Linked DNA regions of Anolis sagrei. The protein of the gene in region 2 purifies or fractionates together with the protein of the main gene of each other region. This does not show direct contact. Links are inferred from orthologs where the notes say so. Each region holds a gene or a part of one and is shown on either strand. Other genes may lie near its edges. The genes, in order: TFDP1, MAX, MNT and YAF2.

Region 1 (7,529 bases), on a different chromosome or scaffold from region 2:
AATAATGTCAATTAATACCACTACTAATACACAGCAATATATTCCCAGAGATGTTGCGCTAGTAGAGATTACAACCTGTTATACATGATATAATAAAGTAATTTTAGTCAAGGTAAGAGTAGTACTGCCATATGTTCTAGGAATCTCTTTGACACCTATGACTAGTTGTGTAGCACAGAACAGACCCGTATTATTAAACCCTGGAGATGTCACTGCAAGATTCAAGGCTACAACTACTTTATTGAATACTTACTGTTGATTCAATGCACATCTATAGGATCAAAGTGAATTCCTATTATTTGTTAGTCCTTGTGTTAACATGTGGGTTTGTAGGATCATTATAAACAGACATACTTACATCTTTTGCCATGTTATCAAGTCCAAGAAATCAATTCTTTACTTGCGTTGTTGCCACAGGATAAACAGAAGAAGCAGTTCTATATTCTGAAAGAAGAAAAGAAAAAAAATTAAGCTAGCATACTGAAAATCAATTTAGAGTTGAAATAATTAAAATTAGGTTTTTCTGCCAAAGAGTTCAAAGTGCAGGCTTAAAGTAAAAGCTTGAAACCTTCAGATTTTTGACAAGCTCTGTTTTTTTAAAAAAGAATATTGCATCTTTCTTTTGAGAACATAATACAACTCAAACTGACAGAAGAGGATTTCCTCCTTTTTGGGTGGTGAGGGAGATTAAACCTGTCCAGCTCTACATTATGGCTCACGCATGTCCCACGCTGAAGTGGGCAAGAGGAAGCTTAGTGCAGATGCAGCATAGGCCCCGTCTACACTAACCATTTAATGAAGTTCAAACTCACACAAAAGCATGCAAAAGCAAACCCTCAATGCATATCAGTGCTCTGTGGTTTGTGTCCTCACCATCCAGGCCTCAAGCTAGTTCCTGGATTTCTTCTGTAATCACTTTTTTCAACACCTATTTGAAATTGGATTAAATGTGCAGTGTAGATGGAGGCCTAAGTCATGTCCAGCTCTGCATTAGACCCCCTTGAGAAGCACAATTATACTTCATGCACAAACAGACCTGGCCTGCCCTGAAGTGGGCAAGGAGGGGAAGACTAAGCTATGTGCCTGACCATTCACAACCTAGTTGCTAGGCCTCAGGGGCCCAACTCCCTTTAGCAGCACTCTTTGCCAGCTCAAAACAAAACCCAACCTCCAACATGCAAGCAAGGCCCAGTCCAGTCCCTTCGATGATATGGCGTAAGGGAAAAGGGAGGGAAGCTAGTGCTCCCAGTTCCCTGTGCAAAAAGGCAGGCAGGCTGCAGCATCTGTGCTTCAGAGAACAAGCCCTGCCAGCCTCCCCCCGGGCCTCAGAAAGAGAGGGAGGGAGAGCCCTAGAAGTCTAGCCCAGCAGTACAACTGAAAGAGAGAGAGGGGCAGACAGGCAGGGAGAAGGAGGGCCACCCATGCACCAAGCTCACCCCCACTGAAGGGAAGGGGGAAGGGAAGGCAAGGCGGTGGGGGAAGAAGAAAGAGAGAAAAGGGGAAGGAGGAAGCTGTTTTCTTCCTGCCTCAAAGGCTTTCCCCCCACCTGGCTGCCCCCTTCTGCCTCTTTCCCAAAAGAGTACCTGAAGAACCAGAAGAGGAGAATCCGAGAGCAAACTCCATCCCCCAACGCAGGGGAAGAGAGAGAGAGAGAGCCAGAGATGCCAACTGCACATGTGCAATGCACGGCCCTCCTCAAAACCCCCTCGGGGGGCGGGCTGTGGGGAGGAAGATGATCAGGGAAGCAGCAGCAACACCACCATTTGCACACAAGACAAAGTGGCAAAGAGGGGGAGAAATTAGGAGGAAGAGGGAAGGAAGGAAGGAAGGAAGGAAGGAAGGAAGGAAGGAAGGAAGGAAGGAAGGAAGGAAGGCAGGCAGGCAGGCAGGCAGGCAGGCAGGCAGGCAAGGAGGGAGGCCTCTGCCACCGTAGCAATTGCACTGGCCCTGATAAGAAAAGGCGGGCCAACCATTAGGAGAAAAAATATATCTCAAAAACACAGAAAAAAGTAACCCTGATCTTTTGCGCCTGTTTTTTTCCCCAGAAGGAACTCCAAAAAGTGGTCAGGAAAGGAAAGCCAAGGAAGGGGTGCATTTAGGGGGAGGGTGAAAGTGTTGACTTGGATCAAAGTGTGGACTCCCTTGCATATGCCTCCTGCCACAGCTTGCAAGTCTTCATTCAGGGGGAGAGGATGGGGCTACAAGGGAATCAGTCCCTCCACTCAAAATTGGCAGGTCCTTCATGCTGTCCAGGTCTGCATTGGTTCCCTGAGATACAAGCACAGTGCTGGGTTGCTGTAGGTTTTCTGGGCTGTATGGCCATGTTCCAGAAGCATTCTCTCCTGACGTTTCGCCTGCATCTATAGATGCAGGCGAAACGTCAGGAGAGAATGCTTCTGGAACATGGCCATACAGCCCACAAAACTTACAGCAACCCAGTGATTCAAGCCATGATAATACAAAGCACAGTGCTGCCTCATAACAGTTCCTGAAGTTGGTGGGGAGGGGGGGGGGCAGAGAAGGGACCCCCACAAACACGCGAGGCAGGCCTCCCTCTTCCCACAAGCGCCATCATCCCCCGCCAAAGCCCAGCGCCTCCTCACCACCAGCACCACCTTGGCTCCTCTTCCTCCTCCTCCTTCTCTTCGCCCTGCCCCCTCCCTCCTCCCCCTCCCCCTGTTTTCACACCTGTTTCCCGCTCCCTCCTCCTCCTCCTCCATGAAGGGAGGGCTTCTGGGCAGCGCGCGCGCCCTCCCCTTTTCCTGCGCGCGACCCCGCTGCCGTTACTGCCTTTCCTTTTTTTTTTTTGGCAGTTGGCAGGAAGACGGGAGAAAGAGGGGGGGGGAGAATTGAAACTTACACTTTCGTGCGTCCCTCCGGCGTGACGCTGCGCGCTGACGTCACGGAGTGGAACGTGCCCCACATAGCCACACGCGGGGAGATTAAAGTTCCCTCCCTCTCTCCTTCTGCTTCCATCCCTTCAGCGCCATACGTTTAGGAGGGAGGGGAAGCGCATGCGCAAAGTTTTCGCGCCTTCGGGATTCCACCACGCCTCCCTTTCTCCCGGGGAAGTGCGCGCGCGGGAAGGCCAAGAAAGAGCGCGAGAGCCAGCTGGCTCTCGAGGGTGGCAGTGGGGCCTCGCGCCGCGCGCCGCCCTCGCGAGACTCAAGGCCTGTCATCCGGGGAGCTGGAGTTTTGGCGAGGCGCCGGCGCTCTTTGAACCAGGGAATCATAGAATACTGAAGTTGGAAGAGACCTCGTGGGGCATCCAGTCCAATCCCCTGCTAAGAAGCAGGAGAATCGCATTCAAAGCAGCCCCGACAGACGGCCATCCAGCCTCTGCTTAAAAGCCTCCAAAGAAGGAGCCTCCACACTCCGGGGCAGAGAGTTCCACTGATGAACAGCTCTCACAGTCAGGAAATTCTTCATGTCCAGATGGAATCTCCTTTCTTGTAGTTTGAAGCCATTGTTCCGCGTCCTAGTCTCCAGGGAAGCAGAAAACAAGCTTGCTCCCTCCTCCCTGTGGCTTCCTCTCACATATTTATACATGGCTATCATGTCTCCTCTCAGCCTTCTCTTCAGGCTAAACATGCCCAGCTCCTTAAGCCGCTCCTCATAGGGCTTGTTCTCCAGACCCTTGACCATTTTAGTCGCCCTCTGGACATATTTCTCCTCCCTATGACTTCCTCTCATATTCTCATGTCTCCTCAGCCTTCTCTGAAGCCAGAAGACCTTGTGAAACTACCGCTCCCATTGAAGGAGATGTAGTTTATAAGATTTTATAAACGCTATATAGGACTGTAAGTCGCAGAACATGCAAAGTGCATGCCCCATCACCATGTTTCCATGGCATTGGGGCATAGCAATTAAAAGTGGTGTCAAACCGCATTAATACTACAGTGTGTATGCACCCACGGTCTTCCCACGTGGCTGTATGGCCAGATGTCTTGCGAATGATGATCATAAACTCGAACTGGAGGACCTAGAACAGGCATGGCAAACTTCACCCCTCCAGGTGTTTTGGACTTCCAACTCCCACAATTCCTAATAGCCGGCACAATCAATCAGGGCCAGCTAACACCTGCCAACAAAGGATTCCCCCAGGCAGCAACCAGCCGGGCTTTGAAGCTGCAAGGACTTTCGGTGCTAATCAAAGTGGCCAATTGCAACATTCACACCTGCCTCAAGCAGACAAGAGTTTTTTCCCCACTCTAGACGTTCCACAGATATATAAACCTCACTTGCATAGTTCCCAACAGATCTCACAACCTCTGAGGATGCCTGCTATAGATGCAGCAGAGAATGCTTCTGGAACATGGCCATATACAGCCCAGAAAACTCATGGCAACCCAGCCGGTAGGCTGTTAGGAATTGTGGGAGTTGACGTCCAAAACACCTGGAGGGCCAAAGTTTGCCCATGCCTGACCTAGAAAATCCTAGCGAGGTTTAAATCAAATCTGCAAATAAAGTACCTGCAGATGTGGGGGCAGGGCTGTAATTTGAAAAAAAAAAAAGCATGCTATGCAGGAATCAATATTTAGTACATGGAAAAAAACAGGCACCTAGGGCCAGGCAACCTCAATAAAAATAATAAGTATTTAAGTCCTGCTTTTTTCCCTCCAAGGAAACTCAAAGCAGCAAACACTAAAAAAATAACAAACAAAATGCAGACTAATGCCAAAAGCACATAAACATTAAAATAAAGAACTATTAAAAAGCATATTTAAATCCAATAAAGCCATTAAAGAGGCTATTGCAAGCATAACTGGTAGGCTATGATGTCATGCAGGGGATCAATGCTTTTGGATTCCTTGGTACCTAAAATAACATTCTTACCCTTCTACTTGAATAACAAACCTCTACAGTTTGGTTGAATGTTGGAAAGGTTCACCTGCTTTAATTCTTAATCGGCTTAAATATATTGTTTTATTAATTCATTTGTTTAAGCAGGCATATAACTTTACTTACCGTATTAGAAGTTGAAAATAATGCAAACCCTTAAATCATTTCTTGTTAACTGCCATCAAGTCAAGTTTGAGTTATGGCAGCTTCATAAATGGGACACATCCACATCTCTGACCATCAAGGGCCCTACTCAAATCTTACATAAACATCTTCATTGAATCTGTCCACCTGTAACGCAGTCTTCCTTTTTTCCTGCTGCCTTTTACCTTACCAAGCATGATTATCTTTTCTACTGAGTCATGTCTTCTCATGTACCCAATGTATGAATCCCAACATGGTCACCTTGGCTTATCGCTTCTGGTGTGAGAGAATTGGCCGTCTGCAAGGACGTTGCCCAGGGGACGCCCGGATGATTTGATGTTTTATCATCCTTGTGGGAGGCTTCCCTCATGTCCCCGCATGAGGAGCTGGAGCTGATAGAGGGAGCTCATCCGCCTCTCCCCGGATTCAAACCTGCTATCTTCAGTTCTGCCGGCACAGGGGTTTAACCCACTGTGCCACCGGGGGCTCACACCAGAAGCCACTTGCGAACACTACTTTACCCATAATGTCTGGGAATCGCCAGAAGGCTAAACGGAGGGCTGCACAAACACAACAAGGACCAAGTACCAAAAGCACAATAATCCCAATTAAACAGCTCAAGGGAAGATCTCAGGGGCTCACATGTCTTTACACTAATGCACAGAGCATGGGAAATAAACAAGACAAACTCCAACGTTTAGCACAACACCACAAATATGATATCATAGGGATCACTGAAACCTGGTGGGATGACTCCTATAGCTGGAATGTAGATATCGAGGGGTTTAACCTCTTTCACAGAAACCGAATGAAGGGGAGAGGAGGCGGAGTAGCCTTATATGTCAAAAACTCTTATGCTGCAGAAGATTCAAGACAGCAATCTGGGAAACCAGCTTGAAATCATCTGGATAAGAATCAAGGGAACTGGGACTCAAAAAGATGTCGTTGTAGGCGTCTACTACAGACCCCCAAGCCAGGAGGAAGAACTTGATGAAGTCTTCTGCCAACAGTTGACCAAACAGGCACAGAGAAGAGATGTAGTAGCCATGGGCGATTTCAACTATCCCGATATTTGCTGGAAAACAAACTCAGCCAAGAGTACAAGGTCCAACAAATTCCTCGCTTGCCTTGCAGACAATTTCATGGTCCAGAAGGTAGAAGAGGCAACAAGGGGATTGGCTACTCTTGATCTCATCCTAACAAATGCGGAGGACCTGATCGATGCGGTCGAAGTGGTAGGATCCTTAGGGGCAAGTGACCATGTGCTCCTGCAATTTGAGGTACAAAGGAAGGCCGAAACTAAGACAAGTCAAACCCGCATTTTGGACTTTAGGAGAGCTGATTTCCAAAAAATGAAGGAAACGCTGAGCAGCATTCCGTGGACACAGATACTAAAAGACAAGGGAGTTACGGATGGATGGGAATTTCTCAAGAGTGAAATACTCAAGGCGCAATTGCAAACCGTGCCAACAAAGAGAAAAAATAGGACAAGTGCAAAGAAGCCAGAATAGATGTCCAAAGAACTTCTAACTGTGCTAAGACACAAAAGAGACATGCACAAGAAGTGGAAAAAGGGAGAAATCACCAAAGAAGAATTCAAACAAATAGCCAACACCTGTAGGGAAAAGGTCCGCAAGGCTAAAGCAAAAAACGAGCTCAGACTTGCCAGGGACATTAAAAACAATAAAAAGGAAAAACAAGGAGGTGATAGGACCTCTTCGAGGAGAAGATGGGGCAATGCTGACAGGGGATAGGGAAAAGGCAGAACTATTTAATACCTTCTTTGCCGCGGTCTTCTCACAAAAAGAGAGTCTTCAACCTCAGCAAGATGGAGTGGATGAGGGATTGGAGGACATCCAACCCCAAATTGGGAAAGAAGTCGTCCAGAAATACCTGGCCACTCTTAATGAGTTCAAGTCCCCAGGGCCAGATCAACTACACCCCAGAGTATTGAAGGAACTAGCAGAAGTCATTTCGGAACCATTGACAACCATCTTTGAGAGTTCTTGGAGAATGGGAGAAGTTCCAGCAGATTGGTGGAGGGCCAATGTGGTCCCAATCTTCAAGAAGGGAAAAAAGGATGACCCAAACAACTACCGTCCGGTCAGCCTCACGTCGATACCGGGCAAGATTCTGGAAAAGATTGTTAAGGAAGCGGTCTGCAAACACTTAGAAACAAATGCAGTCATCGCTAATAGTCAACATGGATTTATCAAAAACAAGTCATGCCAGACTAATCTGATCTCTTTCTTCGATAGAGTTACAAGCTGGGTAGATGCGGGGAATGCCGTGGATGTAGCGTACCTGGATTTCAGTAAGGCCTTCGACAAGGTCCCCCATGACCTTCTGGCAAGGAAACTAGTCCAATGTGGGCTAGGCAAAACTACGGTGAGGTGGATCTGTAATTGGTTAAGTGGACGAACGCAGAGTGCTCACTAATGCTTCCTCTTCATCTTGGAAAGAAGTGATGAGCGGAGTGCCCCAGGGTTCCGTCCTGGGCCCGGTCCTGTTCAACATCTTTATTAATGACTTAGATGAAGGGT
Region 2 (7,601 bases):
AGGAAAGGGAAGGGATGGAAGGGGATGAATGAAAAGAGAAAAAGGGATGGGAGAGGGAAAAAGAAGGGAGGGAAGAGGGGAAAGGGATGGCTCTCCTTCTCTTTCTGCTTTTGGTGCACGCAGAGCTTAGCTCTCCTGCTTTTGGATACTTCAACCCAGGCTTGCTTCCAAATCAAGGGAGGGAAAGGGCTCATGGCTGGAAGGAAGGAAAGGGGGAAGAGAAGCCTTGTCGCTTTACCTTGCTGGGTGGGCAGAGGAACCTCCTTCTTTCTGCAAACACACACACACTTTGCTCCAGATCCTCTTTCTCTCTCTTCTCTCTTCCTTATTCTCCCCCACGCGCTATCTCTTCTTCCTTCTCCTCCTCCCTCTTTTAGTTCTGACAGCTCTGCAGCAACTTGCACTTCTGGCTTTCTTCTTCTCCTTCTCTTCTAACCCAAGCAAGGATAATGAGAGGCATAGAATCCTAGAAACGCAAGAGACCCCCTCCCTTAAGAGGCTATCCAGTCCAGCCCCATTCTGTTAGGCCGGAAGGCACAAGCCAAGCCCTCCCAACACAGAGCCACCCAGCTCCAGATGAGATTCTGGAGATCGTTGACCAATATCAGTGTTCAGAAAACTCTGGTTTTCCAGTGCTGCCATTCCTATGCTTAAATATGGGATTCTAGAAATGGTTAATATACAGTATACGAGAGTGTTCCCAACTTTTGTCTTCCAGGTGTTTTGGATTTCAAATATTTATTTATTTATCGTGTCATCAGCAACCATTGTTTTACAATTCTAACAGAGCAAAACAAACACAGAGATTAAAATGAAAAAGAAAAGAAAAAAGAAAAAAAAACCACACAGATTTTGTAAATTTGGTATTTGGTTAAATGTCCTTTGACCAGTATCAAATATGTTTTGGTGCTTAATTTGTAAAATCATAATGTAATTTGACACTTAATAAGCTTTTGCTTGATCCCTCCATATTATCCAACATTTTCGCTTATCCAACGTTCTGCCGGTCCGTTTATGTTGGATAAGTGAGACTCTACTGTATATCAAATACCATCTGGTCCAATCCATCAAACACTGTTTTGTTTGATCTGTCTTAAATCTGTCTTAAATTTTTGCCTGTGTGAGTTCTTTAGCTTGACATTTTGCATATCTAAAGAAGGTAATGCCCTGTTTATTGCCCTGCTTCTCTCCTTAGGATTCAGTTTGATGAATGTTTTCTTTGTTCTGTTTATGTGAGCCTTTTCCTGTGTATGTGTGCGAGTTTCTCATGGCTAAATTCTTCTAACATTGAAGAAACTGAGTTTATTTATCTAGCCCTTTTTTTCTATACTAAGTGCAAGGACCAGGCTGTGGCACAGCTAGTTAGTAGCCAGCTGCATTAAATCACTACTGAATGAGAAGTCATGAGGTCGAAGCCAGCCTGGGTCAGAGTAAGCTCCCGACCATTAATAGTCTAGCTTGTTGTTGACCAATGTAGCCTAAAAGACAGTTGCATCTGTCAAGTAGGAAATTTGGGTACTGCTTTATGAGGGGAGGCTAATTCAACTAATTTACGATGCCATAAAATCTTCCAGCAGTGTGCAGAATAATGAGGAAGTACTTCATCAAAGGACTCAGTGTCACAAGTGGACGGTGAAGTGGCAGCTCCCCTGTGGCTGGAACCGAGCATACCCTCATGAAGCCAGAAAAGCTGGAAATGTTAAATTGCCTCTGTGTCTGTCTATTTATGTTTATTATTATTATTATTATTATTATTATTATTATTATTATTATTAAACTTTATTTATACCCCTCCACCATCTCCCCAATGGGGACTCGGTCCAGCTTACATGAGGCCAAGCCCAGAAATGCATTACAACAAAATAAAGCCAAAAACAAACAAACAAACAAACAAACATCACAATAAAACAAATAAAACATAAAAATACAATAAAATAATACAAAAATACAGTAATAGATAAATCACAATCACAGTGAGTGGGCCATATGTACAAGTTAAAATGATAAAAACTCAGGATGAGATAGAAATTAAATGCAAATAATTGTGAAGGAGAAACTCATTGGAAAATGGAGTAATGGAGACAGACCTTCAAACAGGCAGGGGGAAGTACAGTGTGGGGACAGACATTATGGGGGAGCAAACAAAAGGAGATGTAGGGTCACTCTCCAAAAGCGCAGCAGAAAAGCCAGGTTTTGAGATCCTTCTTGAAGGCTGCCTAATCTTACCCAGAGTAGTGGGGCCACGGAGGAGATGGCTCTCTCCGTCATTCCCATAAGCCAGGCCTGTGAGAGAGGAAGGGCGAAAGGAGGGCCTCTCCCGAAGATCAAAGAGAGCGGGCTGGTTTGTGGAAGGAGGTAGGTGGGTTCCAAACTGTTTAGGGCTTTATAGGTGATCACCTGTACCTTAAATTGGGACCGGAAAATAAACGGCAGCCAATGGAGCTCCTTAATGGCATTAGAATCATAGAGTTGGAAGAGACCTCATGGGCTATGGTCCAACCCCCTGCCAAAAAGCAGGAAAACTGCATTCAAAGCACCCCTGACAGATGGCCATCCAGCCTGTTTAAAAGCCTCCAAATAAGGAGCCTCCACCACACTCCAGGGCAGAGAGTTCCACTGCTGAACGGCTCTCACAGGAAGTTCTTCCTCATGTTCAGATGGAATCTCCTCTCTTGCAGTTTGAAGCCATTGTTCCATGTCCTAGTCTCCAGGGAAGCAGAAAACAAGCTTGCTCCCTCCTCCCTGTGACTTCCTCTCACATATTTATACATGGCTATCATATCTCCTCTCAGCCTTCTCTTCTTCAGGCTAAACATGCCCAGCTCTTTAAGCCGCTCCTCACAGGGCTTGTTCCTCAGAACCTTGATCATTTTAGTCGCCCTCCTCTGGACACATTCCAGCTTGTCAATATCTCCCTTCAATTGTGGTGCCCAGAATTGGACACAATATTCCAGGTGTGGTCTAACCAAGGCAGAACAGGAGCATAGTGTCTAGATCCAGGGAAGTCATGATACACCCCTTAGCATGACTTCCCTGGATCTAGACACTATGCTCCTATTGATGCAGGCCAAAATCCCATTGGCATTGGATGTTTGCCATGTATATGTGCATTGCATTCCATCTTGAGTCCCCTGTGGGGTGAGAAGGATGAAATATAAATACTGTAAATAAATAAATATACTATTGCTATTTATTAATCAAATTAAATTAGATTCAAATGAGGTCCTCGTCCTTGTCCCCTTCACTCAGGCCCGTAGCCAGGATTTCGATTCGGGGGGGGGGGGGGCTGAGTTTGTTTCGGGGGGGGGGCTGAGTCTGAGTGAAAGAGGGTCTACCCTAGCAAACCTTTTGTATAGTTACTCCAATACCCCCATGCATATGGGATATATTGAGCATGGTGATCAGATCATGATATGAATAAACATAACAGTTTAAATAATGCACGAGTAAGGCCTTTTCGCGAACCACCATGAGAATTTCGGGGAGGGGGGGTGTGAAGCCCCTCAAGCCCTGGCTACATGCCTGCCTTCACTACAACTCTCATGATTTCAATGGATTGATCCATAGCAATTAAATTGGAGTGAAACTACACTTCTTCCACTGTGTAGACCAGGGGTCCTCAAACTAAGGCCAGGGGCCAGATACAGCCCTCCAAGGTCATTTACCCGGCACTGGCTTAGGGTCAACCTAAGTCTGAAATGACTTGAAAGCACACAACAACACCAATCCTATCTCATCAGCCAAAAGCAGGTCCACACTTCCCGATGAAATACTAATAAGTTTATATTTGTTAAAATTGTTCTTCATTTTAATTATTGTATTGTTTTTTAAGTGTTTTTTGTATTACAAATAAGATATGTGCAGTGTGCATAGGAAAGCATGAATGCTTTTTTCAAATTATAATCCAGCAGCTTGAGGGACTGTGACCTGGACCTCTGTTTAAAAAGTTTGAGGACCCCTACTGTAAATAAATATACTATTGATTAATCAAATTAATCAATTGATTAATTGATTAATCAAATTAATTGAGGTTCAAATGAAATCCTCGTCCTTGTCCCCTTCACTACAATTCTCATGTTTTCAATGGATGGAGCCATAGCAATTAAATTGGGAGTGAAACTACGCTTATTCCACTGTGTAGACGCTCCTCAAGTGGTTTCTAAACGTGACACGTCGTGCTGTGTTGTTGTTTGTGCCCCTTATTCTCTTTGACTACAAACAGCCAGGGTCGGGTTACATAATCGGCACAGCTTCCTTCCCTCTTCGAATCTCTCTCCTGGCTCTTTAAAAGAACGAGAAAAACACCGTCCAGAAGCGAAAGGGGGGAGGTGGTTAAAAGCGTCCCCTTCCGGCTTCCATCCACGTGTCCTCTTCCTCAGCCTGCCGGGAAGCAGAGCCCTTCCTCTTTCGCTCAGGAACTCCGTTTCCTATCAGCGACCGCTGAGCCAAGGCGCATGCGCGCGCGGCGGCATCCAACGCCCGCCCCCGCCCAAGAGGCTCTCGGGAAGGGTAGTTCAGAGCGGCGTGCTCTCGCGGGCGCTGTGCTGGCGGAAGGACTTCATCCCCCGGCATGCTTTGCTGAGTCGTTGGATGTATCTGTGGTAAAAGAAGGGAGAAAAAAAGAGGGGGGGCATTCGTCACGTGCGGCGCGAGGTGCGTGTTCCGTTGATGCTGGTGAGGGAAGAGGAGGAGACGACGACGACGACGGAGGAAGAGGAAGGAGGAGGAGAAGAGACGGCGACGCTGTTGCTGCCAGGGGCCTGTTGTCGTCGCCGACGCCGTCGCTGTCGCTGCTCCTCTCCGCGGCGGCTCGGCCCAGCAAGGCCCCGGAGGAGACCCCGCCGCCGCCGCCACCACCACCGCCACCGTGGGCAGCATGAGCGACAACGATGACATCGAGGTGGAGAGCGACGTGAGTTTCCACCGTCCCGCAGAGAGGCTGCTGACAGTAGTGGCGCCTCGGCCCCTCTCTCGTTCGCCCTGCCTCACAGCCAAAGGTTCAGTCTGCGCGACGCCTCTCTGCCTTCCCTTCGCTTCAATGGGGCCCCTCAGGAAGGGAGAAGCCCCCCCCCAGTAGGCCCCCCGGGGTGAGGGAGGGAGGGAGGGCCTGCTCGCCCCCGGAAGTAGTAAAGGGGAGGGAGGCGGGGTCAGTTGTGTCTGGGAGGAAGGAGGTTGGAATCGAGGTAGGCCTGGGACGTGTTTGGGTAACTGGTGGGAGAGGGGAGGGGGATGAGGAGGGAAGGAGTTGGGGGGAGTTACGATGGGGAGTTGGGGACAGTGGGCAGCTGGATTCGAAGTCTTGTGCCTTTCTAAATACTCCTAGGATTTGGGATTTTGAGTACATGTTTGGCTAGACGTGGGTGGGATTATGTACAGTGGCATAGTAAGAAAATGGCAAAATAAAGGTTTGAAATTGGAATACTGTTCAGTATGCGTTGGCTGGGGGTGGGTGGGTAAGAGGAAAGGAGATGGGAAGGATGTTGCATTGTGCATTTTGTTTGTGTTTAATTTTTTTAAAAAATTGTTTTATATTGGTCTGGTGTATTATTCTTGGGCTTCTCCTCATGTTACCCACCCCGAGTCCCCATTGGGGAGATGCTGGCAGGTGTAAATAATATTTTATTTATTTATTTATTTGGTAGTTTTGTATACCGGTCTTCTCACCTCCATTCGAGGGACTCGGGGCCATTTCCAACATCAATATTACAGACCGCCATTAAAACATAATATTTCTAAATCACACTAAAACATTAAAATATTGAAACAATTAAAATGACAAAAATACAATCATATGATTACAGTGGTTAGTCGTCATCAAAGTCATTATTCGTCGTCATCCATCCATATCACAGGATCACGGCTCATTCATTGAATGCCAATCCCCAAAGCCAGGTTTTCACCTGTTTCCTGAGTGTTAAGATCGAAGGGGCAGTTCTGATCTCCAGTGGAAGGGAGTTCCAGAGTCAAGGGGCCAACACCGAGAAGGCCCTGTCTCTCGTCCCCACCAGCCGCGCCTGTGAGGCCGGTGGGATCGAGAGCAGTGCCCCTCCAGAAGATCTTAGTAATCTTGATAGCTCATAGGGGAGGATTCGTTCGGACAGGTAAATTGGGCCGTATAAAACTTTTATACCCCAGTCTTCTCAACCTCTACAGAGGGACTTGGGCCGGCTTACAGCATAAATTAGTACACAAATACAATTAAAAACATAATCACATCAAAAAGTTAAATACAACAGAATAAATTCACAAACCAAGTCGCCAAGATAAAATAAAATAAACTTTATTTCTATACCGTCGTATCTCCCCGAGGGGACTCAGGGCGGTTTACAACAGAAGATTGGCAAACATTCAATGCCGGCATAACATAAACAAATCAAATCAAATCATAAACAATAAAATAAACAACATCAGGTGTACTTATAGAACAACTCAAAAATAACAAACTTAGATATTTAAATATATAAATCAAACATTTAGAACATGTTTACTACTAGATCTAATGATAGCAAACACTCAAACATTATAAGTAAAAAAGGCATTTACAAGTCAACAGGGCTGAGGTGGTGTCCAAGTCAGAGTGATTAAGGTGCTGGCCAGGGCTGAGGTGGTGTCCAAGTCAGAGTGATTAAGGTGCTGGCCAAAGAAAACTCTTATTATTAATGAGATGGAGGGGATTGATAAGGGGGGTGGCTCTTCTGGACTCTTGGGCCAGTTCTTAAACACGCTTCTGGAATGAGCTTCGTGTATTCCAAGTAGACTGGAACGTACTTAGTCCAAATCTTTTTGATACTGGTTTTAAACCACTTAATTGGATGTGTTGCAATAGCAGATTTCCAGGTTAGTTTAGTGTTTACACCTTATTTTATTTTCTGGTTATTTAATGTTTATTTTGCTTAAGTGATATTTGTCTTTACTGTTCTAATGTAGCTCAAATCCTATATAAAATCATAGTATGTATTTTTGACATTAATATTGAAATCTGAAATATATACAGAAAGTGTTGTCTCTTTGCAAGTACAGTGGAGTCTTGATTATCCAACCTTCGCTCATCCAAAGTTCTGTATTATCCAATACAGTCTGCCTGTTTCAATACATTGCAATGTTTTGGTGCTAAATTCATAAATACAGTAATTACTACCTAACGTTACCATGTATTAAACTGCTTTTTCTGTCATTTGTTGTAAAACATGATGTTTTGGTGCTTAATTTATAAAATCATAGCACAATTTGATGTTTAATAGGCTTTTTCTTAATCCCTCCATATTATCCAACATTATCCAGTGTTCTGTCATCCCGTTTGTGTTGGATAAGCAGATTCTACGATCCTTTATTTACCAGCTGCTGTCCGTTGAACAATTTGAAGCTTCTTGGTAATTTTTGGGATTTGGTTCCAGGACTCTCATTGATACCAATATCTGTGAATGCTCATATTCCATTATATAGAGTAAGATTGTATTATCGTGGTTCTTAAGTAAAAATACTTTATTTCTAACCTGCCCTCTCTCCTGGGGGGGACAGGACTCAGGGTGGTTAGTAACAAAAATGGCAGACATTCACTGCCTAAAACAGACAAACAACAAGTCAAGACAAAAATAATAAAT
Region 3 (7,707 bases), on a different chromosome or scaffold from region 2:
AATAATATTACAATATAATGGATTGTGTAATATAGTAATATACAATACTGATATTGTACTATGCTAATAATATAATATATTGTATGCAAATATATTTTGTAGGCCACTCTTGAGTCCCCTTCGGGGTGAGAAGGGAGGCATATCCATGCCGTAAATAATTTTTTTTAATATGATATATTAATATATTACTACGGTATATTAACAATATTAATATAATATACAATTATGAACACTATAATAATTAATATAATAATAATCTATTATCAATATCCCTTCACTTCCTATGATGGTTAATATTATGCTGACAGCCAATTGAAATGAAGATAGCGGGGAGGGGGGCATTGCAAAGAAACTGCTAATATTAGTCACATTAAATAGATTTTAATAGATAATATATTATTATGAATATCCCTTCAATGCCTATGAGGGTTATTGTAATGCTGATATTAATATATTTTTTGTGTGTCAGGAGTGACTTGAGAAACTGTATAATAATAGAATATTAAATCCTTATTAATAATAATATATTACATAAAAACAATATCATAATAATAATAATATAATAAATCCTTATTAATAATAATATAATAAAATAACAATATCCTAATAATAATATAATAATAAATCTTTATTAATAATATAATAATATAACATAATATTATCCTAATAATATAATATAAATATCCCTATTATGCTTATTATTGTGCTGACAGCAAACTGAATAGAAGATAGAGGGGAGGGGAGGCATTCCAAAGAAACTGCTAATATTAGTCACATTAAATAGATATTAATATATTATTATGAATATCCCTTCAATGCCTATGATAGTTATTGTTACGTGGAGCGACGTGAAAAACTGCATCATAATATAATAATAAAGAATAGCAAGACTTACAATAATAATATCCTAACAATAATAATATAATATAATAATATTAACATCCCTATTATGTTTATTACTGTGCTGACAAAGAAACTGCTAATATTAGTCACATTAAATAGATATTAATAGATAATATATTATTTATGAATATCCCTTCAATGCCTATGATAGTTATTGTTATGCTGATATTAATATATTTTGTGTGTGTCAGGAGTGACATGAGAAACTGCATAATAATATAGTATAATAATAAAGAGTGGCAAGACTTACAATAATAATATTATAATATAATATGAATATCCCTATTATGGTTATTATTGTGCTGACAGCCAATTGAAATGAAGATAGAGGGGAGGGGAGGCATTCCAAAGAAACTGACAATACAGTCATATGAGTCTTATTAATTAGATCATAGAATCTTAGAGTTGGAAGAGACCTGGTGGGCCATCCAGTCCAACCCCATTCTGCCAAGAAGCAGGAATATTGCATTCAAATCACCCCTGACAGATGGCCATCCAGCCCCTGTTTTGCAATGTGATTAATTAGGCATTCATCACCATCAGACAAGGGTGGGAATGGCATTTGCAAGTGATGACGTCATGGGACTCCCCCAAAGCTCTTTCTCTCTCTCTCCCAATCCAATTTGAACAATATAATAATAATGAGATTGGGGGAGAAGGTGGAGAAGTGCTCCCCATTTAGGCAGAAGGGAAAAAAGAGGTGCAACCCCTCCCCCCGCATCTGATCCGGGTTGACTCCGGAGTGACTCCACTTACCACGTGCTTTCTGTTGTTGCTGCGCTTGCCATTCCAGGAACCGGGCCGCTTCTAGCAAGGTCTCAATGCTCATTTCTCGGGGTGGGAGTCCCAAAAGGAGGAGCAGGAGCAGGAGGGTGGGGGCAGTCTGAGGATCCCAAAATATATATATATAAGGAAAAATATATAAATATATAGATAGATAGGTATATCTCTCTGTCTCGAATGTGCAAAGAAGGGCTTGGCTTGTTCTGCCAAAGAGGGTCCCTATTGCTGCTGCTGCTGCTGTTGTGGTTCTTCTGGAGGGGAGAGAGCACACCAATCCGGGCTGAAGCCAAGCCTTTTTGGCCCCTTCCGGCCCCCGTTTCCGCGGCCCCCTCCCACCCGACCAGAAGAAGGCTTTGTAACAAGATGGCGATGCGTAACAGAAACACAACAAGAGAGAGAGAGAGAGAGAGGGAGAGACACGGCCCTCTGCTACTATCCCCGCGGGGGGAAGCAAAACCCGGACTGGACTCCTCTCTTAATGGAATTCGAGCCGCGCCAGCCGTTGATGCTTTGAGCGCTCACTCAGGCAACACATGAGGCTGATCCAATTGGTTCAATGTGTCGCCTCGCGCCGCTGTTTCCTCACCTCCCGTCGCTTTGGTTTAAATCACCCATTCCGGGGAGTTCCACCTCCGGGTTTTGCCCCCGATCCTCCCCCCCGCACTGCGTCCGCGTGCTGCTCAATGACGTCACCCGCTCCCTGGCCAATGGCGTGACAGGACAACAAGGCATGGAGCAGCTCCACATGGGCACTCTCCGCCGCGGGCCCCCGCCGGCGCCTCTCTTAAAGGGACAGGACACCTCAAGTCGCGCCCTGGTTCTCTTCCCTTCCCTTGCCTTCTTTTGTTCTACTTACTTCGCTGCTTAGGCTCCTCCTCCTTCGCTTCGTCCTTCTGGCCTTATTTGCATGAAGCCCCTCAAGCCCCGCCCGCTTTCCCTCCTCAAGTGTGAGGAGTGTGAGGCAAGGCTTAGCTCCTCCCCCTGCTGGTGTGAGGAAATGCGGCCTCCTTGGCTTGAAGCGCCTCAAGCCACGCCCTCTTTTCCTCAGCGCGTGCTTGTCTTGTGCTCCGCCCAACCGCCTCGCGCTCTTCCCCCTCCTGATTGGCGGAAATGCGGCCTCATTTGCATGAAGCCTCTCAAGCCACGCCCTCTTTTCCTCAGCGCGTGCTTGTCTTGTGCTCCGCCCAACCGCCTCGCGCTCTTTCCAATCCTGATTGGCGGAAGTGCAGCCTCATTTGCATGAAGCCTCTCAAGCCACGCCCTCTTTTCATCAGACGCAGGGCTGATGTGCTCTGCCCACTCTCCTTGCGCCTCTCCCCCTGCTGATTGGAGGAAGGTGTGGGCTTATTTGCATGAAGCCCCCTCAAGCCACGCCCTTTTTTTCTTCTTTTCCTCTCAGACGCAGGGCTTATTTTATGCTCCGTCCACTCTCCTTGCGCTCTTCCCCCTGCTGATTGGAGGAAGTGCTCTCTCATTTGCATGAAGCGCCCTCTTTTCCACTCAGGCTTGTGCTCCGCCCAACCGCCTCGCGCTCTTCCCCCTGCTGATTGGAGGAAGTGCGGCCTCATTTGCATGAAGCCCCTCAAGCCACGCCCTTTTTTCCTCAGCGCGTGCTTGTCTTATGCTCCGCCCAACCGCCTCGTGCTCTTTCCAATCCTGATTGGCGGAAGTGCAGCCTTATTTGCATGAAGCCCCTCAAGCCACGCCCTCTTTTCATCAGACGCAGGGCTTATCTTATGCTCCGCCCACTCTCCTTGGCCCCTCCCCTGCTGATTGGAGGAAGTGCTACGCCCTCTTTTCAAGCTGCACCCTTTTCCACTCAGCGCGTGCTTGTCTAATGCCCCGCCCAACCGCCTCGCGTTCTTCCCCCTGCTGATTGGAGGAAGTGCGGCCTCATCTGCATGAAGCTCCCTCAAGCCACGCCCTCTTTTCCACTCAGACTCAGGGCTTACCTTATGCTCCGCCCACTCTCCTTGCGCCCCTCCCCCTGCTGATTGGAGGAAGTGCTAGCACCCTCAAGCCCTGCCGATGGAGGACCTTCTTGCGGCAACCCCAGAGGCACTCCAAGTGGCCAGATACTGGTCAAAGGACATTTAACCAAATACCAAATTTGCAAAATCTGTATGGTTTTTTTTTTTCTTTCTTTCTTCTTTTTCCTTTTCTTTTTAATCTCTGTGTTTGTTTTGCTCTGTTAGAATTGTAATACAATGGTTGCTGATGACACGATAAATAAATTCCCCCCAGAGCGTGGCGAGTGGGAGGCGGGGCTTGTCTTATGCCCCGCCCACCTCGCTCTATTCCCCCTGCTGATTTGAGGAAGAGCGGTCTCATTTGCATGAAGCCCCTCAAGCCACGCCCTCTTTTCCTCAGACGCTGGGTTTATCTTATGCTCCGCCCACCCGCCTCTTCCCTCTACTGATTTGAGGAAATGCTATCTCATTTGCATGAAGTGCCCTCAAGCCCCGCCCTCTTTCCCTCAGAGCATGCTTGCCTTATGCCCCGCCCACCCGCCGCTCCCTCTTCCCTCTACTGATTTGAGGAAATGCTATCTCGTTTGCATGAAGCACCCTCAAGCCCCGCCCTTTCCTTCAGTGTGTGCTGAGTAGGAAGCAGGGCTTGTCTTATGCTCCGCCCACGCGCCTCTCCCCCCTACTGATTTGAGGAAGTGCTGCCTCATTTGCATGAAGCCCCTCAAGCCACGCCCTCTTTCCCCAGAGCGTGCTGAGTAGGACGCAGGTCTTATCTTATTGTAGGAACTGAGACCTCATTTGCATGAAGCCCTTCAAGCCCCGCCTTCCTTCCCCAGAGCGTGCTGAGTGGGAGGCGGGGCTTGAATCGTGCCCCGCCCACTCGCCTCGCGCGAGGCAAGGGTGGAGCCATCTGGGACAATCTGTCTAGTCATGGCCGGGTGGGAAGTCAGGAGGCAGCAGGCGCTCTTAAAGGGGCCGCGCCCTATTTCCCTTCCTTAAAGGAGCCGCGCCCTATTTCCGGAGGGAGGGGGGAAGGAGTAAACACGTGAATCCGGAATGCGTGATAAGGACGGGGGGGGGGGGAAGGAATGTGTGCAGCAAAACAGGAAAGGCGGTTTTTGTTGAGTGTGGGTTGCCTCCTGTGGCGTCAGATGAGATCACAGGCAAAACAGTCCAGATCCCAATTGCCTTTGCAGGAAAAAAAGGCAAGTCGAATCCGGATTGCTGGAGAGAATTTGGGAAAGAAAACTAGTAATCACATTTGCCGTTATAATTGCAAAAATAATCTACATAACTAATAAAATAAGCACAATAGTAATAATTACAATAATTACAATAAGAATTGCAGTAATAATTCCAATAAGAATTGCAATAATAATAAGAATTCCAATAAGAATTGCAATAATAATTCCAATAATAAGAATTGCAATAATAATTACAATAAGAATTGCAATAATTACCAGAATAAGAATTGCAATATTTACAGTAAGAATTACAATAATAAGAATTGCAGTAATAATTACAATAACACTTGCAACAATTACTATAAGCATTTCAATAATAATTGCAACAATAATTGAAAAATATTTACAATAAGAATTGCAATTGTAATTGTACTAAGCACAATGACGATAATAGTAATAATATTCGCTACAAGAGTAGTAAGGGCCATACTGTCATAAGATATACTGCTGGCATTATAAACTGGACGCAGGCAGAACTGGACAATTTGGACAGAAAAACAAGAAAACTCATGACCATTCATAATTCACTATATCATCGCAGTGATGTTGACTGGCTCTATCTGCGGGCAGAGGACTTTTACAAGTAAAGCAAGCCGTTGAAGAAGAAAAACACGATGCCCTGGTAGAATATGTCAAGGAAAACCAAGAGCTTGCTTTAATTGAAGTCAATAATCGGAAACTTCTTAAAGCACAGCAGACAAAGAGTCAGTACAAGAAAACTGCACTCCAAACCAGAACTGACAGCTGGCACAACAAAGCCTTACATGGGCAGTTTCTTGACAAAATTGAAGGAAAAGTTAATAAGGAGAAGACCTGGTGATGGCTTACAAATGGAACCCTGAAGAAGGAGACAGAAGGCCTGATTCTTGCAGCTGAGGAGCAAGCCATCAGAACCAATGCCATTAAGTTGAGGATCGAAAAATGCAGACTGTGCAAGGAAGCAGATGAAACCATGGACCATCTCCTCAGCTGCTGCAAGAAAATCGCACAGATGGACTGCAAGCAGAGGCACAACTCTGTGGTCCAGATGATTCACTGGAACTTATGTCACAAGGACCACCTGCCAGCAGTCAAGAATTGGTGGGATCATAAACTTTCAAAGGTCGTGGAAAATGAACATGCAAAAATACTGTGGGACTTTTGAATCCAGACTGACAAAATTTTGGAACGCAACACGTCAGACATCACAATAGTGGAAAAGAAAAAAGTTTGGATTATTGATGTTGCCATACCGGGTGATAGCCGCATTGAGGAAAAACAACAGGAGAAACTCAGCCGTTATCAAGACCTCAAAATCGAACTGCAAAGGCTCTGACATACACCAGTACAGGTGGTCCCAGTGGTCATTGGCGCACTGGGTGCCGTGCCAAAAGATCTCAGCCGGCATTTGGAAACAATAAACATCAACAAAATCATGATCTGTCAACTGCAAAAGGCCACCTGACTTGGATTTATTTATTTATTTGGTTTACTTTTACCCCGCCCTTCTCACCCCGAAGGGGACTCAGGGCGGCTTACACATCCAAGGCACAATTCGATGCCCATAGCATACATCAATAATAAGCAATAAAACAAAATAACAAATTAGCAAACAACAACAACAACAATACATTGCATCTAAACCCGTTAAAACCAATAAAACCAATAAAATTTCATACAAACCGATACAAACCGCTTCTTCCTTCTTGCCAGTCAGTGTTCGCTATCTCATGGTTCAGAGTTTTCTTCCACATTTATCAGTCCACATATATCAGTCCTGCCGGTCCTAATTGCCTGGTTGTCCTATCTAGTTAGCAGATTGCCCGAAGGCCTGGTCCCACAACCACGTCTTTGCCTTTCTCCTAAAGGACAGGAGTGATGTCGATGCCCTGATATCCACTGGGAGTGAGTTCCACAGGTGGGGGGCCACCACTAAGAAGGCCCTGCTCCTCGTCCCCACCAGCCTTGCTTGGGAAAGCGGTGGAGTCGAGAGCAGGGCCCCCTCAGATGATCTTAAATTCTGTGGTGGGATGTAGAGGGAGATATGTTCGGACAGATACGCTGGACCGGAACCGTACAGGGTTTTGTAGGTCAAGACCAGCACCTTGAATTGGGCTCGGAACTGAACCGGCAGCCAGTGGAGCTGACACAGCAGAGGGGTGGTATGCTCTCTGTATGTCGCCCCAGTGAGCAGCCTGGCTGCCGCTCGCTGGACCAGTTGAAGTTTCCGAACCGTCTTCAAGGGCAACCCCACGTAGAGCGCGTTGCAGTAGTCTATTCGGGATGTAACAAGAGCGTGGACCACTGTGGCCAGATCAGACTTCCCAAGGAACGGGCGCAACTGGTGCACAAGTTTTAATTGTGCAAAAGCTCTCCCAGCCACCGCTGAGACCTGGGGTTCCAGGCTCAGCGATGAGTCCAGGATCACTCCCAAGCTGCGAACCTGCGTCTTCAGGGGGAGTGTAACCCCGTCTAACACAGGCTGTAACCCTATTCCCTGTTCGGCCTTACGACTGACCAATAGGACCTCTGTCTTGTCTGGATTCAATTTCAATTTGTTAGCCCTCATCCAGTCCGATACAGCAGCCAAACACCGATTCAAGGTCTGGACAGCCTCCTTGGTGACAGGTGAGAAGGAGTGACAGATCTGGACATCATCTGCATAGAGATAACATCTCAGTCCGAAACTCCGAATGATCTCCCCCAGCGGCTTCATGTAGATGTTAAACAACATTGGGGACAGAATTGAACCCTGTGGGACTCCACATGACAACGGCTGTGGGGCCGAACAGGTGTCACCCAGTAACACCTTCTGGGACCGTCCCTCA
Region 4 (7,390 bases), on a different chromosome or scaffold from region 2:
AACAATAGAAACCATGTTTTATACAGCAATATTGTAAATAACATGTGGAAGTTAAGTTATTCATTTGGAAAGAAACTGATACATGGTATTCCATTATTATTACTATTATTATTTGACTTACATACAAATCTAACTTAAGAACAAACCTACAGAACTGATCATGTTCGTAACTTGAGGACTGCCTGTACAGAGCATATGACACGGTATAGTATGAGGCATAGATTTCAGTTGGGCCTATTTTTAACAGTAACCCTGAAGCAATGGGAAAGGACACTTATATCCAGTGTCTACCAATCCCTAGAGAGTCTACTGTGTTTCATAATCCTGGATAAGAGATGCTTAATATGTATCCCAGGTCCCTTCCACACAGCAATATAACCCAGATATCAAGGCAGAGAATCTCACGTTTTCTGCTTTGAACTGGAATATATGGCAGTGTGAATTCAGATAACCCAGTTCAAAGCGGATATTTCCGCCTTTATACTCTAGGATATAAAGCTGTGTGGAAGGGCCCTGGGTTATTGGAGGCCAGATAATCCCACAATATCTGCTTTGAACTGGGCTATCTAAATCCAAACTCAGATAATGTGGGATTTTCTGCCATGACATTCTGGGATATAGGGCTGTGTGGATGGATCCTGGGTTATTGGAGGACCCTTCCACACAGCCCTATATCCCTGAATATCAAAGCAGGAAATTCCACAATATCTGCTTTTAAATGGGTTATCTGAGTCCTCACTCAGATAAGGTGGGATTTTCTGCCTTGATATTCTGGGATATAGGGCTGTGTGGAAGGGTCCCGAGTCCACACTGCCATATATTCCAGTTCAAAGCAGAAAATGTGGGATTTTATACAGCTATGTGGAAGGGGCCCCAGAATATCAAGGCAGGAAATTCCACAATATCTACCTTGAACTGGGTTATCTAAGGGCCCTTCTACACAGCCATAGAACCCCAGAATATCAAGGCCAAAAATCCTATAATATCTACTTTGAACTGGGTTATCTGAGTCCACATTCAGATAATGTGGGGTTTTCTGCCTTGATATTCTGGGATATAGGGCTGTGCAGAAGGGTCCTCAGATAACCCAGTTCAAAGCAGATATTGTGAGATTTTTCTGCCTTGATATTCTGGGATATAGGGCTGTATGGAAGGGTCCTGAGTCCACACTGCCATATATTCCAGTTCAAAGCAGAAAATTTGGGATTTTATACAGCTATGTGGAAGGGGCCCCAGAATATCAAGGCAGGAAATTCCACAATATCTGCCTTGAACTGGGTTATCTGAGGGCCCTTCTACACAGCTATAGAACCTAGAATATCAAGGCAGGAAATTCCACAATATCTACTTTGTGCTGGGTTATCTGAAGGTCCTTCTACATAGTCAGAAAACCCAGAATATCAATGCCAAATATCCCACAATATCTGCCTTGAACTGAGTTATCTGAGGGTCCTTCCACACAGCCATAGAACCCAGAATATCAAGGCAGGAAATTCCACAATATCTGCTTTGAACTGGGTTATCTGAGGGCCCTTCCACAGTCCTATATCCCGGAATATCAAGGCAGGAAGTTCCACAAAATATCTGCTTTGAACTGGGTTATCTGAGGGCCCTTCAACACAGCTATAGAACCTAGAATATCAAGGCAGGAAATTCCACAATACCTACTTTGAACTGGGTTATCTGAAGGTCCTTCTACATAGTCACAAAAACCAGAATATCAATGCCAAATATCCCACAATATCTGCTTTGAACTGAGTTATCTGAGGGCCCTTCCACACAGCCATAGAACCCAGAATATCAAGGCAGGAAATCCCATAATATCTGCTTTGAACTGGGTTGTCTGAGGGCCCTTATAACTCAGAACATCAAGGCAGAAAATCCCACATTTTCTGCTTTGAATTGGACTCAGTTAACCCACTTCAAAGCAGATATTGTGGTATTTTCTGCCACGATATTCTTGTGTTATAGGGCTGTGTGCAAGGGCCCTGCGAAAGGAATCCCTTCCACTCCCTCCTGTCACCCTTGCCGAGAAAAGGCGGCGATCAGGAGCAAGGCTGCGATGGTGGCCGGCTCTGCTGTCCCTTCCCCGCCATCCTTCCTCCCTTCCTTCTCTCTCTGCTCTCCCTGCAGCCTCCTTGGGCCTTTCCCTCCCTTCGCCGCCATTCCCTCCCGTTCTGCTGGAGGAGGGCTGCGGTGCCACTCACTCAGGCCTCTCCCTCGCTGTGTGTGTGTGTGTGTGTGTCTCCTCTCGCTCACTCACCGGGTGGAGGTGCCCTTCCTCACATCGCACATCATGCACTTGAAGGCCTCGGCGCTGTTGCGGAAGGTGCAGACGCTGCAGTCCCAGTAGCCCTCGTCGGAGGAGGGTTTCGGCTGCCGCTTCGGCCTAAAAAGAATCGGGAAATAAAAAGAGAGAGAAAGAGGGGGAGGATAAGGAGGAGGGGAAAAGGGGAGGAAGGATAAGGAGGGGAGAGCGAGCGGGGGAAGGAGAGAGAGAGAGGCACCGGGAGGCTTTTGTAAGCGACCCGAGGAGACCTATTCCGCCGGTGCCTCCTCCTCCTCTTTCTCCTTCTCCTCCTCTCGCTTGGCCTAGTGATCAGGCTTCCTCTCCTTTCCTCGTCCCTTTTCGCCTCCCCGCCATCGCGCCACAAGAGGAGGCGGGAGAGAGGGCGACGAGGAAGAAGCCCCTCACGAGAACAACCCCCTGGCCGCCCTCCTCGCAGGCTCACCTTGTGGGGCTCTTCTTGTCTCCCATGCCGGCTCCAGACGCGTCTCCAGCCCGGCGGCTGCGGCCCTTTGTGTATTTGTCAATAAGGAGGAGCGAGAAGAGGAGGAGGAGGAGGCGGCTGCTGCTGCTGAGGGGAAGCGAGCAAGGGGAGCAGAAAGAGGAGGAGCCGCGGCCGACACAACAACTTGGAGCGAGCGGCCACCTCCAGCTGTTGGGGGAACTCCGGCCGCCGCCTCGCCTTCTCCTCCCTCTCCTTCTTCCCGCAGCCCGCCCGCCCGCCTGCCTGCCCGCCCGCCGCCTCCCTCACGTGTTCCCCGGTCGCCAACCAGGCCGAGGCCCAGGCGACGGCGGGGGCAGCCGGAGAGGGATCCCCGCTCGCGAGACAGGCGCACGGCGCGAGCACGGCGCAAGGGGAGGCAGCCGGAGGGGCCCCTCGCGCGCACACACACACCACCACACACACTCACGAAGGGGAATGGCTTCGAAGGGCGACTATTGCGCCGACTCTCTCTCTCTCCCCCCCTCTCCCTCCCACTCTCTCTCTTTCTGTCTCTCCACACAGGCCTCGGCCGTGACACCAGCGCCATTCCCCCTCCCCTTCGCCTTTCATTTTAGGCAGGGAAGGCCGCAGCCTCAGGCCTCTTTCCACACTGCCCTCTTAGGATCCTTGGGGGATCCTTCCACATTACCTCAGTGTGGACTTAGGCCCCTTCCACACAGCTGAATAAAACACCACATTTTCTGCTTTCAACTGGAATATATGGTAGTGTGGAAACACGGTTCAAAGCAGATATTGTGGGATTTTTTGCCTAGATATTCTCGTTTATACGGCTGTGTGGAAAGGCCCCTAGATAACCCAGGGCCCTTCCATGCAGCCCTACATCCCAGAATGTCAAGACAGAAAATCCCACATTATACGAGTGTGGACTCAGATAATCCAGGGCCCTTCCACGGAGCCCTACATCCCAGAATGTCAAGGCAGAAAATCCCACATTTTATGACCATGGACTCAGATAACCCAGGGCCCTTCCACACAGCCCTAAATCCCAGAATATCAAGGCAGAAAATCCCACATTATATGAGTGTGGACTCATATAACCCAGGGCCCTTCCATACAGACCTGTATCCCAGAATATCAGGGCAGAAAATCCCACATTATATGAGTGTGGAGCATTTGACTGAGGGTCCTTCCACAAAGCAGGAAATCCCACAATATCTACTTTGAACTGGGTTATCAGACAATGTGGGATTTTTTGCCTTGATATTCTAGGATATGATATGGGATGTAGGCCCAGGGCCATTTCATACAGACCTGTATCTCAGAATATCAGGGCAGAAAATCCCACGTTATATAAAATCCCACTCAGATAACCCAGGGCCCTTCCACAGAGCCCTACACCCCAGAATATCAAGGCAGAAAATCCCACATTATATGAGCATGGAATTAGATAACCCAGGACCCTTCCACAGAGCCCTACACCCCAGAATATCAAGGCAGAAAATCCCACGTTATATGAGTGTGGACTCAGATACCCCAGGGCCCTTCCACTCAGCCCTGTATCCCAGAATATCAAGGCAGAAAATCCCACGTTATATAAGTGTGGACTTAGATAACCCAGGGCCCTTCCACAGAGCCCTGTATCCCAGAGTATCAGGGCAGAAAATCCCACATTATATGAGTGTGGACTCAGATAACCCAGGGCCCTTCCACGGAGCCCTACATCCCAGAATATCAAGGCAGAAAATCCCACATTACCTGAGTGTCCAAAGCAGAAAATGTGGGATTTTATTCTGCTGTGTGGAAGGTGCCTGGTTTATATGTCTGTGGGTCCTGCCACACAGCCTCATATCCTAGAATATCAAGGCAAAAAATCCCACATTATCTGATAACCCAGGTCAGAGTAGATATTGTGGGATTTCATGCTTTGTGGAAGGACCCTCAGTCAAAAGCAAATAATAATCGGGGATTGGATTATGGTATATAGGGAAGTGTAGAAGGGGTCTTAAATGGGCTTCATTTAGGCATGTAGCAGGGGGGGGGGCTTGGGGGGCTTCAGCCCCCCCCCCCCCCCAAATTCTCATGGTGGTCCGCAAGAAGGCCTTACTGGTGCATTATTTAAACTGTTATGTTTATTCATATCATGATCTGATCACCATGCTCAGTATGTCCCATATGCATTGGGGTATTGGGGTAACGATACAAAATGTTTGCTAGGGTAGACCCTCTTTCACTCAGACTCAGCACCCCCCCCCAAACAAACTCAGCCCCCCCCCCCCAAACAAAATCCTGGCTACGGGCCTGGCCTCATCTGTCACCAATCCGGATTAAAACCTTCATCTCAAGGCAGGAAATCTCGCAATATCTGCTTTGAACTGGGTTATCAGATAATGTGGGATTTTTTGCCTTGATATTCTAGGATATGAGGCTGTGTGGCAGGGCCCACAGACATAACCCAGGCCCCTTCCACACAGCAGAATAAAACCCCACATTTTCTGCTTTGGACAGGAATGTATGGCAGTGTGGACTCAGAAAATCCAGTTCAAAGCAGACACTGGCAATGAAGATCCCCATAGTTTTGAGTTTGTTTGTTTTTTCTTTTGTGTGTGTATCAGGAACAACTTGAGAAATTGCAAATCGCTCCTGGTGTGGGAGAATTTGCCCATCTGCAAGGATGTTGCCCAGGAGATGCCCTGATATTTTGATGTTTTACCATCTTTGTGGGAGGCTTCTTTCATGTACCTACATGGGGAGCTGGAGCTGACAGAGGGAGCTCATCCAATGCAGAAAATGTGGGATTTTATTCAGCTGTGTGGAATGGGCCCACACAGACAAGCACTGTCTTGTTTCCTATTAGTACACTCAGGGCCCTTCTACACTGCCTTATAATCCAGAATATCAAGACAGATCATCCAGGTTATCTGCTTTGAACTGGATTATCTGAGTCTACACTGCCAGATAATCCAGTTCAAAGCAGATAATCTGGATTTTATACAGCTATGTAGAAGGGCCCATAGTGAGGCTTGGGCTAGAGCTACACTGAGCATATACTGGACTTTGGACTGCGTTATCCAACAGTGCAAATCACTGCTTTGTAAACTGCGTCCCAACCTCAAATGGAGTCTCCTTTCAACTCGATGTCGGGATCATGAAAAATTTGGCAACTGTGAAAGGTTTTTGAATCTGTCCATTTACACAAATCAGTTAATAACCTACAATGTTTACAGTGGACTCTGCAAGAAATGCTTTAGCTGTGCTTCATAAAAATGGAAAATCAGCCTGTTTAGCAAGCCTTGCAAATGCTGGTTATCAGTAAATGTTTGCTTTGTATACCTGTTTTATCTGTATATATACCTTGGGTCATACAAACTCTTTTCAGGCAGAAAGGGGTCCGAAAAGGTTAAGAAGTCCTAGGGTGGCTCAAACCTTAGAAAGCTTGGCTTTGGCTGCGTTGAGAGGATGTCTGATTGGAGGTCATGACCAGTGTCCACCACTGAAGAAGCCATGAGGTATACTGTGAAATCCAAGCACTGGTTAATGTGAAATGGGTTTGGAGTTAGTGGGAATACATTTCTAAAGTACATACAGCAGAACTTTCAAACTAAGTGTCGCGACACATTAGTATATCAGCTGCAGTGTGTAGTTGTGTGGCATGAAGGTAACAAGAAACCACGTGGTCAATGTGGAATTAGCAATAAATCAGTAATTTTTAAAAAATATAAATGAAAAGTTTTCATGTTTCACTACAAGTGATATATATGTCTATATCTTTTATAAGGCGTTGGTTTAACTTCCACTTTCCTAGTCATGAAGTGATGCATGTCTAAAAAGTGTGTGACCTACAGTTTCTTACTGTCGATTAAGCATAGCTGCTACACACTCAGTCCACTCCATTGCAAGTATAGTTTCTGCAGTCTTAAGAATATAGAATGAGTGATTTATCTTACATATAGATATGTGTTTCATGTTTTAAATTGAATACTGTTTTTTAATTGTTTTTAACTTTTTAGTTGTTGTAAACCGCAATGAGTCGCCGACTTAGGCTGAGATATTAGCGGTATACAAGCGCATAAATAAATAAATAAATAAATAAATAAATAATAGATTGGACGTCATGACCAGTCTCCACTATTGAGAGGTGTCTTGTGTAGGAAGTCATAAGATGTTCTGTGAAAGCCCTCCGGTTGTTCGAGTAAAATGGAATTGGAGTCAGTAACTGGAAATAAATTTTTGAAGTACCGACAGCTTGTTACTGCTATAAACTCAGCCCACTCCACTAGCAAGGTGGAGGCACCAGAATCAGTTCAGGTTGGTCATCCTTTATCCGGACTTTGGAAATCTGAAATACTCCCAAATCTAAAATTGTCCACATGAGGCTGGATCCACACTAGGGCTTCTAATGCTTCAATTTACATAAACATTGCTTCACACAAAAATTACTATAAAAGAGTGCATTCAGGCTATATGCATTTCTTGTTTCGACTTGGGTCCCTTCTCCAAGATATGTCATTATGTACAAATCTGCAAATACAGACATCCCACCATCTAAAATCAGATCCAAAACACTTCCAGTTCCAAATATTTTGGTTAAGGGACACTCAACCTGTACCGACTGATGCCCATTATTTGGGATATCTGTTTATTGTCCGTGTTGTAATGAT

Evidence for each region.
Region 1: the proteins of MAX (region 2) and TFDP1 purify together in Homo sapiens (affinity purification with mass spectrometry; 5 studies listed by BioGRID and IntAct, with this or other methods). This does not show direct contact. The link is inferred for Anolis sagrei from reciprocal best matches to the Homo sapiens genes MAX and TFDP1.
Region 3: the proteins of MAX (region 2) and MNT purify together in Homo sapiens (affinity purification with mass spectrometry; 7 studies listed by BioGRID and IntAct, with this or other methods). This does not show direct contact. The link is inferred for Anolis sagrei from reciprocal best matches to the Homo sapiens genes MAX and MNT.
Region 4: the proteins of MAX (region 2) and YAF2 purify together in Homo sapiens (affinity purification with mass spectrometry; 3 studies listed by BioGRID and IntAct, with this or other methods). This does not show direct contact. The link is inferred for Anolis sagrei from reciprocal best matches to the Homo sapiens genes MAX and YAF2.

The regions. Positions count from the first base shown.
Region 1 is NC_090023.1:108,401,342-108,408,870, forward strand, and holds the start of TFDP1 (transcription factor Dp-1), read right to left. Parts: upstream 3,007-7,529; 5' UTR 2,861-3,006; intron 2,832-2,860; exon of another isoform or gene 2,689-2,831; intron 2,658-2,688; exon of another isoform or gene 2,604-2,657; intron 1,680-2,603; exon of another isoform or gene 1,584-1,679; intron 445-1,583; 5' UTR 371-444; coding exon 359-370; intron 1-358. UniProt on the Homo sapiens protein: Can stimulate E2F-dependent transcription.
Region 2 is NC_090021.1:232,298,974-232,306,574, reverse strand, and holds the start of MAX (protein max), read left to right. Parts: upstream 1-4,597; 5' UTR 4,598-4,876; coding exon 4,877-4,912; intron 4,913-7,601. UniProt on the Homo sapiens protein: Transcription regulator. Forms a sequence-specific DNA-binding protein complex with MYC or MAD which recognizes the core sequence 5'-CAC[GA]TG-3'. The MYC:MAX complex is a transcriptional activator, whereas the MAD:MAX complex is a repressor.
Region 3 is NC_090031.1:25,878,622-25,886,328, forward strand, and holds the start of MNT (max-binding protein MNT), read right to left. Parts: upstream 3,008-7,707; 5' UTR 2,543-3,007; intron 2,532-2,542; exon of another isoform or gene 2,273-2,531; intron 1,787-2,272; 5' UTR 1,733-1,786; coding exon 1,660-1,732; intron 1-1,659. UniProt on the Homo sapiens protein: Binds DNA as a heterodimer with MAX and represses transcription. Binds to the canonical E box sequence 5'-CACGTG-3' and, with higher affinity, to 5'-CACGCG-3'.
Region 4 is NC_090025.1:136,447,343-136,454,732, forward strand, and holds the start of YAF2 (YY1-associated factor 2), read right to left. Parts: upstream 3,012-7,390; 5' UTR 2,759-3,011; coding exon 2,733-2,758; intron 2,390-2,732; coding exon 2,264-2,389; intron 1-2,263. UniProt on the Homo sapiens protein: Binds to MYC and inhibits MYC-mediated transactivation. Also binds to MYCN and enhances MYCN-dependent transcriptional activation. Increases calpain 2-mediated proteolysis of YY1 in vitro.